Linked DNA regions of Drosophila melanogaster. The protein of the gene in region 1 interacts with the protein of each later gene in a biochemical or structural test. Each region holds a gene or a part of one and is shown on either strand. Other genes may lie near its edges.

Region 1 (5,701 bases):
TCCTCACTGGCGCTTCTCTCCATTCAGGGTTGTCTTTATCTCGTTGAGACAATACTCGGCCTGCTCTACGGCATCGGGATTCTGGTGTTGCTTTCCCAGTTTCCACGCCAGTCGGCAAGCGTTCTCCGCCTGCGACATCAGGCCCTCGCGAAGATACACCAAACCCAGATTTGCCTGCAGAATGCCTTCCTGGGTGGCATCCTTTAGCTCCTTAGTCAGCTCCATGGCCTCCAAAAGGGTCTCCCTTGCCTCGGCGTACTTTTCCAGCTGTAATTAGTCTAATGTGTTTCAAGTACTTTGGAAGAATAGACGCACCTACGTTTACGTACGCCACACTGATGTTATTTAGGATGGTTACAGAGGCGTCGTTAACGGCACCATAAACATTTATGAGCGTGTCGAAGGCCTCCTTAAAGAGGTTTTTAGCCTCCAGGTATTTTCCCTGCTTCATCAGCAGCTGCCCGAACCTGGAAAATAAACATAAGGAAAAGTATTGAAAAAAGGCTTGGTTAGCGGCAATGGAAACACCTTCAATACCAATTCTTTGTCAAGCCATACAGCTCCAGTATGTCCTTGTCGTCGGGCATTTTCTCCAGTAGCTTAGCCAACTGCTGCAAGGTCCAAGTGAACCCTTGAAAGCTCTTTTCCAGATCCCCTTGCAGCTGAGACATGTGTGCTATCTTGGAGCTGATGTGAAGTATCTAAAGATGAAAGAGATCTTAACTGGTTATGGTGTCTAAGTGGGTCACCCACCTTGGGACTCTCTTCGGTGTGACCCTCGGCAAAAAGCCGTTTCATAACGTCCGTGAATATCTTCTCCGCCTTCTTAAACTGCTCGCGTTCCATGGCCAAATTGGCCATCAGATCAAACACATATGTGATGCCGTCCTTGCTCTGAATATCCTGCGCCATTCGCAGAGCCAGGTGAAGCATTTGCTCGGCCTTGTCGTACTGTTCCCTCTGAATGCACAGGATTGATCGTTTGATGGTCTTGATCAGTTTTTCCTCCGGAGTTTCCTCTTTTTCGTCGGCGCCACCAAACAGATTCAGAGTGAAAGCAGCGGAAAATGCCCAAAACATTCCACCGGAAGAGCCAGAAGCGGGCGGAGCTGCCCAGGACACCTCGTAGCCCGCAGCATTGGAGCACAGCGGTCGACATCCGAATTCTGACCGTTGGTGATAACGGCTTCTCTTCAGCGGCGCAAGATGACAGTAATCTCTGGGATTCACGACAACGCGGAACCTGCCCATAACTTGCGTAAACTTGCAAATATTTCTCACTAACATGTTTAGGGCTTTATTAATTATTTAACTAAAACCTATAATGTTGCAGGTATGGTATTAAAAATTATGAAATAGCACGTATGTAGTGTTGCAAAGCGCGGTAAAGACGTTTTAAAAGTACATTTCGTAACGCTTGATTAAGAACATAGAAGACTTTTAAATAATTTCTACTCTATCATACTTTCGCAAATATATTTATGTTTCGTTAAGATTTCGTAAACAAAGGTTTTTAAATTTTTTAGAGATGACACTGTCAAACAAAACTTTATCGGCAACTTTGGTACCTAACATTTCGTTCATAAGTTAAATCTGCGAACAAAAATAAATTGATAAGTAGAGTTATTAACAATCTCGAATAAAAAACATTTAAGTACATTTGATAAAGTTTTTCGTAATAAGGTACTTCCTTCCCCCATCGCATACGATACTATCGATAGCCGTCAGCGGGGCGATAGACCGAGAGAAAGCATCCCTGTATATTGATGGCGGATTGACGCTCTTTCGCCTAGTAAAATTATTTTTCTTATCAAGAAAAGGTGCAGAATATAACGAGGAGTGAATTCGCAAAGCAGTGCATGAAATAGCTGTGGGTCCGCCGGCTGTACCTACGTTTTATTTCAGATCTTTCCAGCGTCGCAGCGAGTTTCCAGCGATTTTCGGACAGCCATGAGACGTCGCAGCGAGCGAAAAAAGTCGTCGTCGCCCGCTCCGGTGCCGGTGGCAGTTGCACGGAGAAGTCGCCGCTCCCGCAAGGTGTCGGAGAACGAGAAGACCGAGGTCGAGACTCCGGTCGTGGCCCAAAATAATGAGGCCGAATGCCCCAAAGTACCGCCAGCCTCTCAAGAAATCAATGAGGCGCGGGCATCCAGTGAAGAACGTGCCGGATCTGGAGCATCGCCAGTGCGCAGGAGTCGCGGCAGCCGGACGACGCCTAGAAAGCGCACGGAGTCCAAGGGCGGCGACAAGAAGGTGGACACCATACCCGAGGAGGAGCCGGAGAATGGAAAGGATGTTGAAAAGGACGCTGTCGAGGAGGAAAAGACTGTAGCGCCACCCGCGGCTAATGAGAGCGAGTCCGAGGACCGTGCCAAGACGGAGGATCAGCAGGCTCAAGACGATGAATCCTGTGCTGAACCCGCTGTAGTCAAGGATGATGATGTTGAGAAAGAGGACTTAAAACCGCAGCAGGAGGTCCCCACTTCCACTGATGATGACACCAAGCAGAGCGAGCCAGAACAAGAGGTAAAGGTTCCTTCTCCTTCCAGCAAGGATGAGGAACATCTAAAAACGACTAGTGATGTATTAGACATTCAGACAGAAGAGGTCGATGAAAGGGACGAAGAAGCCTCCGCTCCTGCGGAGCGCAGAGAAACCAAGAAGAGGCACAAGGAGCAGATAAAGGAACAGCAACCCGCAGAGGAGGAGGAACACAAGGAAAACCACAAGCAGATAGACGAAAACCCAGAACAAATTCACGATGAACCAGCAGATCTTTCGAACGACAAGCACGATCCATGTCTAAACAGCAGCGCAACCAACACAACCGGTGCTCCAGTTCTGCAGCAACAACGGTCGGTGCGGAAGCGAAAGTGGCTGACTAACAAAAAGTCTTCGGATCGTACCCCGCCCGTGCTTGCCATTTCGACGGATTCCCTGAAGAACATTATAGCCGATGTGGTGCAGCCAGTGCCCCTAAGCGATGTGCAACTGGAATCGTCCTCAGAGGAGGAAGGCCTGGTCACCAGCGATCGCGATTCAGAGCGATCTGCTTCACCGGCGCCCCCATCTGAAGCAAGCAAAGACCGCGATAACAAGGGCAATACCGCCAACACCTGCGACACCACCGCAGAGGCGTCGGCAGATAATGAAGGAGCAGGAGCCGCTCCTCCAGCAGCAGCAGACACGGTTTCAGCCCAGGTCAGCCTGAGCAAAGCCACAGTTTCCACGGCAGCACCACACATAGTCCGTGACCCTAGTCCTGCTCGAAACCGCGCCAGCCACGTGCTCTATATCACCAATTTGGTACGCCCCTTCACAGTGCTGCAGCTGAAAGGCCTGCTGGCGCGGACGGGAAAGATCGTTGAGGAAGATGGTTTCTGGATAGATCGGATCAAGTCTAAGTGCTATGTTGCCTATTCCACTGAAGAGTAAGTATTGTAGTTGCGCAAATAGAACCTAATCTCCAGGGAGTCAGTGAAATATGCCTATAAAAAACTCACACTTGCAATTATTTTGCTTTTCAACCTTTAAGCGAGGCCATCGAAACCCGACATGCCCTGCACGGAGTTCGCTGGCCAGTGTCAAATCCCAAATGTTTGAATGTAGATTTTGGCAGTCGCACTGATATGGATCGGGCAATACTTTCAACGAAGGACGAGGCTCCGAGGTACGGGCAGGAAAACACCAGAGATAACCAGCAGTCGGGCAACGCTTGGTCCCGGTTGGAACCGTCTGACAAAAAAGTAATGGATTATTATCACAGCATAGAAATGCGGAGCTAACTTGTCTTTTTCCTTCAGCCTGCGCGACCTGTACGCGAATGGGATGTTGGCAAAAAGGAACCAAGCGACCACGACAAACACAGCAACGACAGGCGTCGGGACAGCAAGGATCGACTGGACTCGAGGTCTAGGGATGCGGAGCGAGCCGGACAGGAACGAAAGCGTTCTAGGGACAGAGAGGGGCGAGGACGCGATCGGGAGCGGGAGCGACTTGATCGCAATGCACATGCAAGGAGCCGCAGTGGATCGCCAGGTAAAGCCCGTGGGATACATTTTCCTGTCATGAGAAATTCAAAAACACCCCGTTTAAATAGCGTCCAAAACTAAGAAGGAGAATGAACCGCCTATCAGACTACTAGATGATCTATTTCGAAAAACCAAGGGAACACCTTGCATATACTGGCTGCCACTTACGCCGGAAGCGGTAAGTTGCTGAGATAAATAGTTCCAATCAACGAGAATCACTTCTAGACCAAGTCCGCCTGAACAATAAAATTTCTTCCGGCTTTCAGATCGCAGAAAAGGAGGCATTCCGTCAGAAACGCATTGAGGAGCACAAGCTGCGTATTAAGGAACGGGAGGAGCGCCAGAAAGAGCGGGAGAAGGATCGTGACCGCCAGCGCGAGACGCGTCGCAATCGTTCCAACGAACGGCGACGATCTCGCAGTCGCGAGCGGGAGCGAAGACGTTACTAGGCGGAGGCTTGAGATTGAGCAAATAAATGTTGATATCTCAAAAACTAAATCAACATATAAAAAAAAACTTCAAGAAACAGCAACTAAAACTTCAGCAGGGTCTCATCACCACCCGAATAATTTCAATTCTTTTCTTTCGAGCGTTTTGCGTTCCCAATTAGGCCGACGTTTGTAATATTCAACTTGAACTGAACCGACTTCAAATTGAATACTTTCGCCAACGTCTCATCCACATTCTGATTTTGAGATTTCAAACTCTCTTTTCTTCGTTATTTTTCTCATTGTTGTTGTTCCATATATATATAGCATATATATTTCCATATATATATATATAACCTGATTTGATTTCTTTCCTCAAATGTAGCATTTTACAGCGCCTAACGTCACCTCACCCCAAAACGAAACCACAGCAACCAGAAATGCGCCGGCATCAGATCAGCATCAACGCCATGGAAACTTACCATCGGACTCTTGAAACTACTGCAGCAAGTTACCATGCTTATATCTATTCAATAAACAAACATAAAATAATTGATTAAAATATTGTAAAATCAAATATTTCTTAAAATTTTAATGAACTTAGAAATACAATTTAACATCAGTCGGCAAGCTTGTGACAATGCCAAAACCCAAAAATGTGTTTTAAATGTCTGAGAAATATGCTTATCGCACGACTTATTCGAACAGAAAAAGAAAAGAATGTAATTCCTCAAAATTATAGAAAATGTTTTTGATTCGTAAGAATCATGGTATTTAGAGCATATTATTATAATTTTAATACTCTTTAATTTATATATAAGGTCAGATTTATAAAGTATGAACTTTTTGCCATTTATTTACTTTTCCTTATCAATTTTTAGTAAAAACACTGCTTTTATTAATAATCGCGAGTCTAATTTATTGATTAAACTTAAAAAAGAATAAATGAAGTTGTCCGTTAAAGTACCAGAATACCCCCAACAATAAGTTCGTTTTAATCGATAGTCCATGTTAATAAGCTATCGGAGCCGCTTAATGATTTATGTCAATAGTGCTATCGATGAGTTTTAATTTGTATTAACATTAATTTAGTGAAAAAATGTGGTCCGACACAATATTAATTGTTTTTATATCGGTTTGCACCGCCTTCCTGGGCGAAGGTAAGTAAAACGCCAGTTAATTTAGTTAACCCTACATATTTGTTTGCCTAGGTCTTACATGGGTGATGGTTTACCGGACGGA
Region 2 (4,098 bases), on another chromosome or scaffold:
AATACCAAGCACCAAGCGATTGGCTCTGCTGGGAATTAAGAGAAAAGCCTCAAAGGCTATTGAAGATCTGGAGTACTTTGTCCAAGAAGAGCTAAGAAAGTATAAGACCGGAGATGCCAAAATTAAGCTGCGCGAGAAGGAGGAGAGCGTTCGAAATTGCACGCAGGTGGATAAGACCATAATTGATGGTCTAGTGTTTAAGATCTTCAAACTGATTCTGGACTCTAACGAAGATAAATGGTCTGGTCGTCTGCCCATGAGAGAGATTGCCCAGGCTCTCACCAAGGAGGAGCTGAGTGGCATTAAATCCGAGTGCGGCGGCATCAAAACATTGCTGCGCAATAAACACGAAGTTTTCGAATTCTGCGGTGGTGATCTCATAGGAATAAGAACCCCTAAACCAACGGCTACTCTCCCCAAATCCCATTTGACCATCAAGAAACGTAGCTGCTTTTTCAAGCTTCATCATCCGCTGGGATGTCCTCTCGATGATGCTGAGTGCTCGTTTATACACTAAGCTAACTCTCTATGTGTGTGGTATTTGCTCACCTTTATTATTTGGATTATAATATAAAGAAAAGTGCAATAATCGTGTCAATTGTAGAAACTAGGAGTCGATCAGTGTCCTCTAACGAGAGCTGTCACTGCTATTGCTGCGGCGTCGACGACGAATGGGGGAGCGGGAGCGACGCCGTGGTGAACGCCGGTTCCTCATGGGTGACTGACGACGTCCGCCGCCGCCGCCACCACCTCCTCCACGATTGTTGAACCTATTGAACTGGGGTGGGGATCGCCAGCGGTTGTTTTGCGGACGGCGCATCGGTGGCGAAGGACGACGCATGGGCGGCCTCTGTTTTACTAAGACAACCGGGGATACCGTAATCTCCTGGCCATCTATCTGCCCGCCATCCATATGCTTCATGGCCGACTCACAATCCTCGGGTGTGGCATATTCCACAAACGCCACGCCGCGTCCGAAGTTAGGATGAAAACGATCTACGGGAAACTCCACATTCTTCACATCCCCAAAGCTGCTAAATATCTCGAACACATGGTCCTTGGTAACGTTGCGGGTAAGCCGACCGACATGAATGCGCACCTGTTTGGGCGAAGGCGAGCGAGTCCGCGAACGGGAGCGCTCCCTTCGCTTCGGTGGCGGCGTCCTCTCAACGGAGCCGCGACCACGACGGCGTGGCGATCGTGAACGACTGGCTGAGCGAGAACGCTCCCGCTTAACATTATTGCTATCGGCGGCTGCCCTATCGTTGGATCCAGCACGGCGGGCACGATCCCTCGACCGACTACGACGATCGCGATCTCGCTCCGGCTCTTTTCGCGCCTTGCTGCCCGGTCTTGGAGATTTGGAGACACGCCTGGGGGAACGGGTGCGAGAGCGGGAACGTGATCGGGCGCTGGGCTTATCCTTGTCTTTGTCTTTGCCAGCAGCGCCGCCGCCACGTCTTCGGTTCTTCTCGCTGCGATCCGAATCGCTGGACGACGATGATGAGGAGCTCGAGGAGTCGCTGGAGCTGCTTGAGCTGGAACGCGATGACCCGGAACTGCTCCGCGAAGAGCTGCTGTCCGATGTGCTGGAAAAAGTGAAGTGTTTTATTTACTTCTCGTAACCAAGAAAACGGCAATGAAGCTGGTACAAAGTAAAACACTTCCTAACTGTGATGAAATTTTACCATATATGGTATGTGAATTTTTACAAAATCTTTTCGCTCGAAGGCTATTTTCTTCCCGTACTATCTGCTACGTTTTACAGAAGAAGAAGGACTTCCTTTTAAAAGTAACCCTTATTCCGGTTGGCAGATGGCAGCCATTTGTGGGAAAGACCTTTGCCGGCTGATTTACCTGCTTCTGGAGTCGCTGCTGGAGGACGCCGATCCGCGGCGTTTGCGTTCGCGGTCCCTGCGCGAGGAGCCGCTGGTCGCCTTGCCGTCCTTCTCTTTGGCGACCTTCTCCTTGTTGTCCTTTTCCTTCTCACCCTCGCCGGCGAGACTCTGGGCACGCGCCCTGTTTTTTTTTATTTGTCGAGAAAAGCGAGCTGTTTTAGACCATTTAGGGAGCAAAATGTGGTGCAGATACTTACATTTTCGTATTGCCGATTTGTTAAACGATTAGTTTTATAGTACCGCACACTCTTTTAGGTGCAAGCTAAAATGTTTTTATTAATAAATCTTGTTTTTCTCAACTAGAGTTAAATGCGAGTAGCGTTTTCAGTGGAGATTAGTGTGGCCGTGTTTGTGAACGTGTAAATATGACAAAAAAATAGAATACACACTTATTAAAATAAAATCCAGTTCCTTTACTTTGCTATTAAAAAACTGTTTTGCGAATATTAAGAAGCATTTTTAGTTAAATATAAATAAATTTCTTTTATAATATGCTTAAATCTCAAATTCTAGTATACAAATGTTTCTAGAGTATTTGGGATTAAGATAACAGACACCACTTGGTAATTTCTCACAGTCTCGCCGCGGCCACACTCTTTGTCAGGTCGAACCCAAGGTAAACTCCCATAAAGCGTAAAAATTTAAGACCTTTCCTGCCTAGCAATTTGGACTCGATAGGAAGTAATAATGTATACCGTGTAATATGAATAGTGCTTGTTTTCGTAACGTACGAATGTAGTGGAATTACATAAAACGCAATTGATTTAAGGCCAGCACTTTTTTATCTGCTGGTGACGAAGTGGTTGTCATTGTGAGTTCACATCCGTGTGCCTGTATGTGTGTGAACTTGTGTTGATTTTGTCCATGCGAGCAAGCGAGATAGCAAAAGGGGGCCGCGGGGGCTGGCCACAGCCACAGAGTTTCGATTTTCCATCCATATATCTACACTCGCAGCGGAAACGAGAGAGAGAAAGAGAGTGTGAGAGAGAGGAGCGCCCCGTCTGGTCTGGGCACATTTTACCACACTGCGTCTTTGTCTGCCGTCGAGTCGGGAGCTCCGCGTCTGGTGTGTAGTATTATTATTCTTAATATTTCGGATTACTCTGCCTGTAGCTCAATAGCAATATTAAAACCCCGCCCCGAATGCTTTGCGTTGAAAAACATATCTTAGTGTGTGTGTGAGTGCAAAGTGCAGTTATGTTGTGGCAGCAGTCAATGCAAATTAACCAGTGTCTATACCTCAAAGGCACATTTTTTTAGCCCCATCATCGTGTTTTGAAACGCCACAGCGCAGCGTAATTGCCAAAAACCAGCTAGCCAACAAGAGTTTCGTTGGTATACATATCCATATATTCATATAATCAATGTGTGTAAAGAAAACGAAACTAAGAAAAGCGAAAAAGAGCATTCGATGAAGTTGACTGTCATGACTACGCAATAGCAACAACAATAGGAGCTGCCAACAGACACATGTATGCACAGTAGGTGGGTCCTCTCACGTGCTCTCAGTGCCGCTCTCTGCTCTCCCTCTCTCGGTTTCTTTGTGCATCGGTGTGAGTGTGTATGTGTGTTGGGGTCCGGACTCCATGGAAAAAGCGAATATTTTGATGCCTGCTTCCTTGTGTGTATATGCGTATATTTTTTATAATTTATTGTTTTAATTTTGAGAGGGCGTAGTGTGACCCCAACTCGAACACCGACCCTGCCCAAGTATGCATAGAAGAACGCGCACACACATTTGTGGTCAAAATAATAGTTAAATTACGGAAATGTAGTCTATTTACAATGTTGAAGGAGAGCACCGAAGAGGTCGCTCTTTATATACATACATACATACATAAGTATATGTTATCGCTGCATTAAGTCTTATAATCTATGTTTAGAAATGCACTTATCTTATCTTTATAATAATATTTACCACAAATACCCTGATCAAAGAGGGGTTTTATGCCGTGACACAGTCGTTATACGAAGAGGGTGCTTCCAAAATCTTAGTGCTTCCATTTTAAAAGCATCGAAATTTATGTTATGAAAAGAAAAAGAACTTCTTATGCTAAGAATATATCACTATATAATTGCGGAGAATATCTTTGGGGTACAAATTATAGAATTCCATTATATAATATATATAATATTATATAATATATATAATATTTCTACTTAAATGTCTGTTTTAAGCAACACTAACCTTCTTCTTAGA
Region 3 (5,674 bases), on another chromosome or scaffold:
CCTGTCCAGCCGCGTCCCATCATTGATCAAAATCAGCTACAGGACGATCACGTTGACCAGCAGCAGCAGCGTCGCCGTCAGCCCGTTTCCCAGACCATTCGCAAGTGGCGTGAGGAAAACGAGGACGGAAGCATCACATGGGGCTATGAGAACGACGACGGATCTTTCAAGGAGGAGCTGATCGGCACCGATTGCATCACCAAGTGAGTAAAACAGATTGAATCCAACCTCTTTCTCCCACTTACCCAAACTTCTCGTTCACCAGGGGAACCTATGGCTACGTTGATCCAGATGGCAACAAACGTGAGTACCACTATGAGACTGGAATCAAGTGCGATCCTAACAACCGCAACAACGAGGAAGAGCTACAAGAGAACGGGTTCGTCAACTACGAAGAGAATCGCGCCGTGCTGCCCAATGGTCTGGAGATCGACATGACGCAGTTGGGCAAGAAGAAGTCGAAGCGCCCGAACGGCTTTTACAGGAACTGATACTCCCCACAACATATAGTCCCTTAAGTCAAGCAGCTCGTAGTTCGTCTTACTTGTATTCCACTTATAATTATGTTCATACTCCATTGAGTGTCAAGTGAAAGATTAAAATGATTAGAATAGATGAAAGTGAAGAATCAGTACGGACGCTGGCGCCTGGCGGTTGGCGGCAGTCGGTTGGGCGGAGTAATCGAGATGTCCAGAAAGTCTCCAATGCTGAATTTGGCCTGAGCAAGTGTCTTATTATCATCGATTCCTTTTTGACCCGTGCAGGTCACTCCGATTTCGCGCATCTGGAAGTGATTACTCCGGAAGTTGGGGTACACGACAGCAAAGTCAAAGTAGGTGCCCTTCTTCCGGGTGTCCGGATTGACGTCTCGCACCAGAGAGGTCAGTTCGTGCAGGGTGGCGTCTTGCCAGGTGTAAATCTGAAGCTCGTTGGTGGGCACGTTGCCGAACATATACTCCGACACGGAGTGGTGTCGTCCCGTAGAGCAGAAGACACGGAGCAGCATAGGACAGGTCTGGAAAATACATAAACTTATTAACACATCTAGAGCAAACGCGAAGTAAACATGACCGGGGTCACAAACAAACCTTCTCGCGGTCAATCTGCTTGACCTGCGTCTTTTCCTCCACAATCATAGATTCCACGTTGGCCATGTCTCCCTATTCTGCGGTATATCGTTACTAATTTTCTTAATTTTAATACAAAATGCACTTTTAATGCCGTATATTCCGGCTTCTCTTTGCTCTTTTCGATAACTATATAATCGAATGCAGCAATCCTATCGCACATCGCCGAGTGTGACCGCTTGTCGCATACTTATCGGGTTTTAGTTTAATCGATGTTTCCAGAAGCACCAAAATTCGCCGTTTCTCAGCTCTAGTCCGAAAACAAAATTCGCTGTGAGCGGTTGTGTCGTCGAACGTGAAACTACGCGTCTCCGCGAATGACGCAGACTGGAAGCTTCCACTGGCATGACAATCGTCTAAAAACATTCAACAATAGCGGTGCACTTGCAAATTACTGTTGCCGCAACAACAATAACAACTGCTTCGCTAAGCAGTAGCTGCGACCACAACAACAAGGAGGAGAGCAACAACAACGGTGGAGAAGAGCCGTTTGTTATTGGCGCATAAAAGCAGAATCGCAATTTGGCCACTGAATAGTTTCTAAAAACGGTGAGTACATTGTGGCAGCGGTCCATTTGCATACCGAATTGAGATTTGCACTTTTTGCAAGAGTTTCTTATGTAACGGCAACAGCAGCAGCAGCAGCAGCTGAGTTTTACGTGCAAATTGTTGCCGTTGCTTTGCTTGTGTTGGTGCCGCAGCGTCTGCGAAAAGTCACCCTCTTTGCAACCACCCTTCACCCCCCCTCATATTTCATTTATGCATCGCTCTCTCGCTCGATTTGTTTATAAACATTCAGGAATAAGCCGCTGCTAAATACTGAACTGTTTTTATCTCAAGAAGTACAAGGTTATCCCATCCCCAGCCACCCACTTTCGATCTCCTCATTTTTATGCATGCGCCATCATTTGCCGATAATAGTGCCATTCTGTTTGTTGTTCTAAATGTTCTAGTTATTGCAGTAGCGTGGAAGGTGTGGTCATATGGTGGTTTCTATTGTGTCAACAAGGAATCAGTTTCCCAAAAGCTGCATATTTGTTTTTATTTTTAGTCAAATACCAAGAAATAAGTCAATCCAGACATTTGATATTTTTAGAAACGGAATAAACCCCGTTTAAGTGCACAGAAACAGAATCTGTGATTACCCTGGTAAAAGAAAAACACTAGAAGGGGAAAATACCCCACTTGAATTAACCCCCTGCTAAAGGGTATTTTCGCTTCGGCGTGTCTGAATATTTTTAGTTGGCTCGTGTTTTAAAGTCCTCGAATCCACTCCCACCTCGTTGATCCTGCAGCAGCTGTTTTTGCCACAGTTCCTGCTGCTCTTGCGTGGGAGCAGAATGTTTGTTGTTCCTGCTGTTGTTATTGAATCCCCCCTCCCCCCCCTTCGTCCTTGGCCATTGTTCTGTGGACTCGTTTTGGCCGGAGCGGAGGGGTTGCAGCCGTGACCGTGACTGACTGCCCGTAACCCCAGCAACGACCACATAGTGGACGATGTTATTGTTATCGCATACTTTGGTAACCAGTGCACTGTGGTCGGGATGACCAATATGAAGTAAGACGCATTAAAGCTGTTTCTTTAGTCACTTTAAAAAATGAAAAATTTATAAAGATAATACTCAGCAATACTTCTGCGACAAATTCACATTCGTAAATTATTCAAATTTGACAAAACAACGGAATGTTTAAAAACTTTATAGTCTTTTTAAGTTAGAATAAGTCTTAAGTTCTAGAAAGACCCCACGAAGTTGAAGAAAATGTACTTTAAGTGAAGTAAGTCTTCAGTGGCTTCAGTGGAATCGTATGTACTCGAATCGGAAGGTGGGTAAAGATGTGAACAATAAAGTAATATGTTTTTCGAAATTAAATTCCGCCCACTGTCCGTGTTCGTTGCTGCGGCTGCTGGCTGAATTTTAAACGTGCCAAGTCCTTGGTTGTAAACTGAAGACGTGCGGTGTGGGGCGATTTGTTGCCACTGTTGCGGTCGCTTTGTTGCTGCCGCCTTACTTCGTTTTCGTTATTTTTTCTCAAATATTAATTGCTTTGAGCAACAGTAGAAGCCCTTGGCTACTGCTCCAAACCCAATCACTTCGAATTTCCGAAAATTCCCCAAGCAGCAGCACAACGAGTTTGGAAAAGTGGCAAGGCGAAGCAGACGTAACCGAAAGCAATAAATTCACAAATGCAAATAAAATGCGAGCTTTGCTTCAACTCCTGTTCTGTATACATATGTATTTGATTCTATTTTTTACCCGGCCAGTTGACAGGGGCGTGTGCGTGGGCGTTTCTACTGCCAGCCGCACAACACAATGTCCTGGGTGTAAGTCTCGACCTTGGCTTTGCATAGCGACCTTTCGCCAATGCCACAATATATCCCCATTCCTACCCATATCCCTATTCCCCGAATGCCCAGTGGTGCCCACTTGTTTGTAGCGAGGACAGATTTACTTGCCATTTCCAATCCGGGGAATCCATTTCGCAGCCAGCTGTTCAGACTTTCAGATAAAGTGCACGCTTAAGAGAATCATGACAAATTAATGCTTGTGAATGAAGTGGCAAATCATCGTTTCATGGCCAAAAAGGTCGTATTCGAAGAAGATCTAGAATTAGATATTGGAAAGAACCTGCAGCAGATGGCTCATATTAGAAATATCTAAGAAATGTGGCTGGTTATTAACGTATAATTCCATTAGGGTCTTGAGCACTATTGTATATGTCGGCGAAACAGGAGTCTCATCCATATTATTTATTCACTTCGCGATTTTGTACGTCAGCGCAGCAAGTTCCGATCGACGTCAGCAGTCAAACTTCACTGAAGGGATCTTCTTACATGTCCCTTCTTCATCATATTCTCTAATGGCTATACACACTGGCGTGTGCCACATTGTCATCTCTCTCTAACACACTATTTATGACCACTCGATCGGACCTCACTCAGCTGCAGAGGCTGTTCGTGCCTCTGCCGCAGCGCTCGACAGAATTTTACCGCAATATTACAATTTCATCAGAATATGAAATCACAGAAGGAATTTCTGGAATGCGAAGAGTCGCGCTCCGACATATACAATCATGCTGATAATAACATTGATTTTATTGCACATTTAATTGCCTTACATTGTATTACACTTTCTAGCAGTATTCAAGATTATCTCCTATTATTTATAGCAATTTGTTAGTTGTTACTCATGCATAATGGCGACTTAATATTATATTTTAAAATTGTTTTTTTCTTATGTTAATCTGGATTACCACCCCACTTCGTGATTAATTCTGAGCGGAGAACAAAAACACTCTGATAAATTAAGTTGTAAACAACTACTTTCGAAAAGCAATTAAAAAATTTATTTACAGTATTTCACGATAAGGCGAATAACAAAACCATTAACTTGTTAATGTGCCGGTACAAACTATTTCCTCTAAAATGTTATCAGTTATCTGATTACGGGTTGATGTGATTGATTCCAAATATAAGTTGTTAAAGATTGAGTTATTTTAAGAATACCCGCTGATAACATTTCCTTTTGTGAAATTTATTGAACGGTCGTTCAATAAAGAATTGCCGAGAGCATTCTGATTACCATTCTGCTGCAAAAAACACTCGAAAACAACCCGTCTTTAAGAGACTGCAAAAGGCCAAGGAAAGATCACTCGTCTGTGCCTTTGATTGCGAACGACCACTGAATCGATGGGAGAAAGATATGGGAGTGCGTATATGTGGCCAGAAAATTATGTATACGCAGCGTTTCCTCATTGAGAGGCGCTGCTGACGCAAAATAAATGAAACGATTTTAAAATAAAAGCAACTCATAATTTTTGCCCCTACGATTGGTGCCTGTGTTGTCGCGTCTGTTGTCCATTTTATGCTATTTCTGTTTGCGTTCGCTTTTGTTTTGTTTTCCATCTTCTTGCCTTTTTGCCAGGGTTTTGCCAATTGATGAATTGAATACGTACAGACCGCTGCCGTCGGCTCTTTCGTCAATTGGCTTGACTGGATCTAGCTGCAGTTTGCACTGACGTCACGTCCCAAAAGCAAAAGTGCCCCTAACTCACTTAACACATCGGCCTGATTGGCAGCGACGTCGATTCCATTCGACTGTATATGCGCGCATACGTATGTTCTGCTTGACTTGAGGTATACTTGAGTTGTAAATGTCTCAATTAACCATAGTAACAATAGCCAAATGTTATCTATGGAGTCTAAATACGTCCATTTGGTGCGTCAGTGGGGACTGTCGTCGCGATAAGAAGCGAATCGAGGGAACTACCGTGGCCATGATTTACGATAACCAGCGGGTTTCAACCGGTTGAACTCAACATTGAACTGCTGATAACACTTGCTTAAAAGCGATTTATTGGAATATTTGCTGAACAGGATTTTAATTCCTTCCTTGCTTGGAAGCAAGAACCACTGTAAACTTTTGGTAATCTCTTCATCCTACCCAAATCACCGAATTTCGGCAGCACATGTCGGCGATGGCGGCTCCTAATAGAAATCGCTTTTGCATAGCCAAGTTGGCCCAAACTATTTTCATGTCAAAGCGCTGACA

The links. Proteins that work in one complex are often made in the same cells at the same time.
Region 2: the proteins of Acn (region 1) and RnpS1 are reported together in a solved structure, tested with the Drosophila melanogaster proteins (one study listed by BioGRID).
Region 3: the proteins of Acn (region 1) and Bin1 are reported together in a solved structure, tested with the Drosophila melanogaster proteins (one study listed by BioGRID).

The regions. Positions count from the first base shown.
Region 1 is NT_033779.5:19,043,617-19,049,317, forward strand, and holds Acn (acinus), read left to right. Parts: upstream 1-1,738; 5' UTR 1,739-1,950; coding exon 1,951-3,431; intron 3,432-3,535; coding exon 3,536-3,746; intron 3,747-3,803; coding exon 3,804-4,038; intron 4,039-4,099; coding exon 4,100-4,209; intron 4,210-4,297; coding exon 4,298-4,480; 3' UTR 4,481-5,201; downstream 5,202-5,701. Other genes in the region: Ttc19 (tetratricopeptide repeat domain 19), read right to left, coding at 4-267, 320-467, 538-701, 754-1,287; CG10470 (uncharacterized protein), read left to right, coding at 5,559-5,619, 5,671-5,701.
Region 2 is NT_033777.3:9,550,182-9,554,279, reverse strand, and holds RnpS1 (RNA-binding protein S1), read right to left. Parts: upstream 2,247-4,098; 5' UTR 2,098-2,246; coding exon 2,096-2,097; intron 2,020-2,095; coding exon 1,858-2,019; intron 1,590-1,857; coding exon 629-1,589; 3' UTR 533-628; downstream 1-532. Other genes in the region: CG9386 (uncharacterized protein), read left to right, coding at 1-517.
Region 3 is NT_033777.3:16,185,624-16,191,297, forward strand, and holds Bin1 (bicoid interacting protein 1), read right to left. Parts: upstream 3,942-5,674; 5' UTR 3,580-3,941; exon of another isoform or gene 1,484-3,579; 5' UTR 1,155-1,483; coding exon 1,089-1,154; intron 1,016-1,088; coding exon 629-1,015; 3' UTR 533-628; downstream 1-532. Other genes in the region: CG8927 (uncharacterized protein), read left to right, coding at 1-203, 266-491. UniProt on the Drosophila melanogaster protein: Involved in the tethering of the SIN3 complex to core histone proteins. Interacts with bicoid (bcd) to repress transcription of bicoid target genes in the anterior tip of the embryo; a process known as retraction.